Linked DNA regions of Arabidopsis thaliana. The protein of the gene in region 1 interacts with the protein of each later gene in a pairwise test. Each region holds a gene or a part of one and is shown on either strand. Other genes may lie near its edges.

What was found.
Region 2: the proteins of AT5G45360 (region 1) and SK6 interact in a two-hybrid assay, tested with the Arabidopsis thaliana proteins (2 studies listed by BioGRID).

Annotation. Positions count from the first base shown.
Region 1 is NC_003076.8:18,385,204-18,388,960, forward strand, and holds the start of AT5G45360 (F-box family protein), read right to left. Parts: upstream 1,669-3,757; 5' UTR 1,468-1,668; coding exon 1,405-1,467; intron 1,088-1,404; coding exon 884-1,087; intron 802-883; coding exon 728-801; intron 615-727; coding exon 539-614; intron 389-538; coding exon 278-388; intron 194-277; coding exon 19-193; intron 1-18. Other genes in the region: UMAMIT1 (nodulin MtN21 /EamA-like transporter family protein), read left to right, coding at 3,208-3,422, 3,684-3,746.
Region 2 is NC_003074.8:19,668,436-19,671,035, reverse strand, and holds SK6 (SKP1-like 6), read right to left. Parts: upstream 871-2,600; coding exon 613-870; downstream 1-612. Other genes in the region: AT3G53050 (D-galactoside/L-rhamnose binding SUEL lectin protein), read right to left, coding at 1,448-1,525, 1,602-1,952. UniProt on the Arabidopsis thaliana protein: Involved in ubiquitination and subsequent proteasomal degradation of target proteins. Together with CUL1, RBX1 and a F-box protein, it forms a SCF E3 ubiquitin ligase complex. The functional specificity of this complex depends on the type of F-box protein.

The DNA.
Region 1 (3,757 bases):
CAGCATTTCATTACATACCATGAACATTTCCCGTCTCTTTGCATATGAACACGTCGTCAATCTGATGGTATGAACATTTGGTTCCCAAACAAATATGGCCAGTGACAGCCTTATCAGTAAGTCCTTTGCTTTTCTTCCATAGAGAAACTTGTTCAAGTACAGTATTGTCAAGAATTATCCGGTCATCCACCATCTAAAAATTGCAAACAAGAACATGAGAAAATTCTTCACGTGATGATTTGTCCTAAAACATAAACAGATAATTATAAATAGTTACCTGGGACGGAAGAGGTGCTTGGCTTCTCTTTGCTGCTTGCATATGTACGTAATACTCCTTGAAATCCGACGGACAGGTTCTGACAAGTTCAATCATGTCCTGTTCATCACGCTAAAATTCGACAAGAGAAAGGAATCACTTAAAAATATATATGATCTGACTTCTACTAGCAACGCAAACTAACACTGTATATTCTTCAGCAATGTAATACTACTTGGAAACATCTAACAAGTTTATACGAAAAACCAAGGAGAAACTCACATCAATATAAAGCTTCTTCCAAGCAGATTCACGTAACTTTCTACTTGGAAGAGTTAGACCCCACCGGATACAGTACCTGCATATAAACAAAAAACAACCAATAAGATCATCACATCGTTTTTGAATACAAAGTATTGATTTTGAAAACAAGATTATCAACGACAATAAGGGGTACAAGAAGAGGCTTACAGGCGACGCCATAAGGATTCATCAGCCGCAGCAAAATTGAGAAATTTACAAACCAAGGAGCATGATACAAGATCCTGTAATGACATTCAAACAATTTAGTTTAAAAGCAATCCTCAAACATCAATAAAGTTCGAGTTTGAACTATATAGTATATACCTCCGAAGATAAGAACTTGAGAATATGACGAAACAGCTCAGTAGGAACATTGGTGAAAACTCCACTCTCTATTCTCTTTGCATCAGTTTTATCTTTGTTACCATTTTCCTTTTGATCTTCATCCTTCTCTAGAGCCTTTGTTTCGCCTTTCTCAATACGTTGCCGTTTTGCCTCAGGTTCTTTCGTTTCTTCTTTATCCTCTACCTACAAAAACCAAAGCATCAATAAATAATCTAACCTTTCACAGGACAACGCTGAACAAGAGCAAAATCACAATGGACATCAATCGAAGAACATGAACAAAAATTATGTGATTTTTCAAAAATTTCAAATGTATGCATATAAGATCAAATTTACAGATCAAGGAACTGAAGTTATCAAAAATGAAAAAAAAAACTAGGGGAACGGGAAAATCTCGACAGAATTTCAGATTCAGCTACAAAATTCAAAGATTGATGGAGAAGAAATTACTAAACCCTAAATGAAATCGAAAATTTGAATAAACGGAGAAATTTTTATACCGATGAGACTTCTGATTCGAGGAATCGAGCGAAACACTCATCTTCCTCATCGGAAACAGACATACTTTTCAGTCGGTGAAGATCAAAGCTCCGACGACGATGGTTGCGTTTATGCGGCCAAGGAAAGGATTGGAGAGAGACAAGACTCGAGAGGGTTGGCGTTTGGAATCGGTGGCGTGAGATTGGAGACGACCTCGGGCCGAATAATTTTGATAAATGGGCTAATAACCTAAATGGGCCATATATTAATAAATAAGCCCATAACACTAACCCTCCTCCTTGTCGTTAGCGTCATTAATACAAATTAGCTTTCTAAACGTGATTAAATAACAACATTTTTCTGAATTATTATTACGAGTTAACGACGTTCGAACTACTACTATAATTAAATTTTCTTAAAACAGAACATTTGTTATTGGATCAGCAACTACTTTTTAAGGAGTTTTTTCATTTAAGGAAATGTTATATTACTAGATCCACTAATCGACATAAATAAAGGCATATTTTACCAACTTCAGTATTACACTGTAAAAATTAGGCCTGGAAGTTCGGCATAACCCGTTTAAACCGAACCGAACAAACCGACGATTTCGGTTTTCGGTTTCAAACCGATTTTCTGTTGTAAATCGTTCGGTAGAATTTTAAATTGATTTCGGTTTTCGGGTTTTTCGGTTCGGTTCATCAAAACCGATCGGTTTTGTTCGGATTGGGGAGATACCTTTTAAAACAGAAAAATCCTAGATCTATCACTTCATCTTCTTTGTTTTCTAAACTCTCCTCTTCACGAACACCTTTATTTCTCCTCATCTCTAACCCATTTTTATCTTTTAACCTTCTAATTCTTCCTTATTCCTCCTTCTTCTCCTTGTCTTCGTTCTTCTTCTCCACCTTTTAGGTTCGCAGAAATATTCTATTAAGCCACCGCGACATCGATCTTCTCTGGCAATGATTTCATGGTTCTCTACATCTTTTCTCACCACCGCACAATACAAATCTATTTTCTCTGTTTTCAATGTTCTTCTTCTTCATCTCACCCTTGTTTTTCTTTGACGGCCGTCATTTCCAAAAAATAAAACAAAACAAAACCCTAGATGGGTGTGATGGGCTTTTCTTGTCCCTGGAAAAAAAGAATTTGGGTTTTGAAAAGTTAAAAACCGTCATGGGCTTTTTGACTTTACTTGTCCCTCAAAAAAAAAGTTTTGGGTTTTTAAATGTCAAAAGCCGATATGGGCTTTAAAAACAGCCCACTATGCCTAATATTGTGATCTAAACTGATTAGGTTAACCGATTAAAAAAAATTCGGTTTAATTTCGGCGAATTATAAATCCTAGTAACCGAACCGAAAAAACCGAGTACCGAACCGAACCGAACCGAATTTTTGTTCGGTTCAATTCGGCAGAATTTTTGAAAACCGAAAAACCCGGAAAACCGAACAAACCGAACCGTTTAACCCGAGTAAACCGAATTTTTATATTACACCATTTTTTGTGGAAAATTTTCATATTTTTTAAGTAGGATATATGAGCATATTTAACAAATGTGTTAATCTGTTAGGCTTCAATGTGTATAAGATTTAAGAAAATAATCTGGCAAATTTTTTTTTGCCTCAACTTAACAAAAAATCATAGTTAACAAATTGAAGAAGACCAACGACTACAATGACCAGAGAAGTTTTTTTTTTTTTTGGAACGAAAAAACAGAGAAGTTAGAATTACAATTTACAGAGCAAATCAAAGGATCTCAATTTCTTTAGTCAACAGGTGTTCCTTCTCTTCTTCCTCGATTCGGAGGTAGAGAAGAAAAATGGCAGCTCCGGCGATCCTAAACGGCGGCGATGCGACGGAGAGAGAAACACGAATGGCTCACTCTGCAATGACATTGGTTCAGGTCATAAATGGAGGATACCATGTGGTTACGAAAGTAGCTCTTAACGTTGGTGTAAATCAGCTCGTTTTTTGTGTCTTTCGCGATCTTCTTGCTCTCTCCATTCTCGCACCTCTCGCTTTTTTCCGTGAAAGGTCCCTTTTTATCTTCTTCTCAAAATCTCTCTGTTTCTTTATCCTTTTGCTTGAATTGCTAAAGTCTCTGAAGTCTCTGTTTCTGATTGTTTTGATGAGTTTATATGCGGCAAAATCAGACAAATAGTTTGATCTCTCTGGAATTGGAATTAGGGTTGTTTTTCTTTGTTAATTCTGGTTCTATTGTTTAATGATGGATTGCAATTTTGTGTGACTTGGATTTGTCTTTTGATAAAGATTTGCTCTTTTAATTTCTTGTAGAACGATCAGACCTCCTATGAATAGAAGCATCTTCTTTTCACTCTTCTTTCTTGGTTTAGCAGGGTAAAGTAATC
Region 2 (2,600 bases), on another chromosome or scaffold:
GCTGCGAAGTTTTCTATAATTAGGTTTATCATATTCCTACGAGAATATTAAAACAACTGTTTTTATTTCGCAAAGAGAACAACAAATTTTCACACTATCTATTTTAGAATGTTCAATCTTGACAATTTGCATTTATTGCTTGATTATTAATTATGATACAAGTATAGAATATCAAAATTCAAGTGTCATATAATTAGTTTCGGATTAGTAAACTTCAATTACCATAAGAAAAAAAAAAGGAAGGATTTGACTTCACATATATTCAAGAATTGCTTCAAAAACAAAAACATCAATCTTCAGATTTGGTTAGCATATACTAAAATCCAACAATAGATCGTCTCTAGGGTAAAGATACAACAAACATTGGTTTACTTATGCATCAAGAAACCAAAAGAAAAGAAACAACAGAACAAACAAGAAATAGACGAAGTAATCATCTAACATCGCATCAAGAAAACCGAAAACACTAAAGAAGAAAGAACTTTGAAGATCCACTTTCATTCAAAAGCCCATTGATTCACCTTGCGGATCTCAGCTTCTCCCTCTGCTGTGAAATCGTTCTCGATATTGAAGTATGAGCGAATCTCGCCTGGAGTTTTGCCTGAGAGCAAATCAGCGACAGTTTGAAAATGTGAGATCAAGAAGGCTTTGGATATTGAGATAATTCGCAGCCATCATAACATCAAAGAGAATCGATTGTTCCATCTTCTTCATGAATTCAGCGTCCCACTTCTTTAGATCTTCTTCTTTGCTCTCAACGACGTGCTTCTTGCAATACTCGATCACCAATAAGAGTATCTTGCTTGTCACGTTTGGAAGAGGGATTCCATTATCGGCACAATCGTCTTCTGCCATACCCTTTATCATCATCGGAGCTTGTCAACACGATTATCTTCTTCGACATGGTTACTTCGTTATGGGGCGATTTTACTCTCTTAGCAATTTGATGAAAAAGATGGAAGAATAATGAAGTAACCAAGTTATGAACTTATGTGCTCGTTTATTTATAAGCCCTAATTGTCAGAGTCGGTGGGATATGCATTTTCAGATTGGGACCAAAACTTACAACGGGCCCCAATTTTGCAATGTGGCCCCAAAACTTGATCAGATTTGGATTAAAGTGTGTCAAAAGAGGAAAAAGAATGGAATTGGTTGGTGTTTTATGTGATTTGTTGTGATTCTCACTTAAAAGATTTGGTACGTGTCAGTCTTCACATTTTTTGAGGAGAAAAATATTGAGTAACCTATAAACAGTTCGATAAAATATGGCAAAGATGATTGATATTGTATGGCACATACACATTTGGGGTTTGCAACAAAGAGAAAAAATGTAACAAACGTGTAAAGTAGGAAACAAAAGCTTGACTAGGTCGATTACATAAAGAAACTTTAACTTGGAAAACAAGAAAAAAACTAAGTTTTCTACAAGTAGCGTCAATAACGAGACTTAAGCTCCCTTGCAGTGGCTCGGACCAAAAATCTTGTCTGGAACAAACAACTTACACTTCTCTTTCCTAAGACATTTCTGCACAAACAAACGATAATAATTAATAAGAACACTATTTGAAAGAAAATTTGTATTTTTGATTGATTTTGTATACCTTGTTGACGATATTTAAGGTATTGCTTGCACCGCAATTACCGCGTTTAAATTTCCCACAACTACCAGTGGATTGGCCATAGTCGGCGTAAGTGATCTTTGAAATAACATATCCTTGTTCGCAATCGAAATCCAATGCGATTGGTTTACCATCCTTAGCCTCTTTATGAGTCGCGCACATTGTGTATTCCGCTGACTCACTAAGAGAGGAATTAATGGAGCTAGAGAGACTACGTTTCTCGTCTCCGTGAAAAGAAACGTCTATCTTTGAAGCGAAACTAAACACGAAGGAAAGAAACAGAACAACAAGCAAAATAAAGCCATGAAGACAACGGCAATGTGAGTCTCCCATTTTGTTGTTGGTGTTGTGTTCTCACTAATAATCAAAAGGAATATGAGAATGAGGACTAGGCTATTTATGGATAATTTTTATATACATTTGAGTTATAATGTGAATGTGGTCGTGAAGTTTTCTCTCCATTTCTCACTCTCCTTCTTCTTGGCTTTTGGGGGAGTTAATGAATAACAATCCTTTTGACTTTTCTACGATTACTTAATAACAGGTTTGCATTTTCAGTAGCAAAAATAAGTAAATATCATTGATTTTTAAATTGTTTCCTAAATAATAGGTTATAGGTTATAGTTAATCACATAAGACTTTTTTAGTTTTGTACAATTTTTGTGACTAACTATTTTATAAATTATTTTGCATAACTTTTTATATTTTAGATATAAGTTATTATTTGAAAATTTATTTCATTCCTATAAATTACATTTTTTCATTTTGCTTAGGGGTTTATAAACTCTAGGTTGGTGCCACATCGAAGCATGACTTGCTCTTATAGGTCTAGTTGTTGAACTATCACCGCAACATTTGATAAACAATATTAGGAACATGTATGAAAAATCTGTAACTATGGCAAGTATCAAAAAGTTTTTGACAAAACAAGTTCTTGTTCTAGAAAAACTTGTCCATACTCATGAAAACTCAAACAAATCT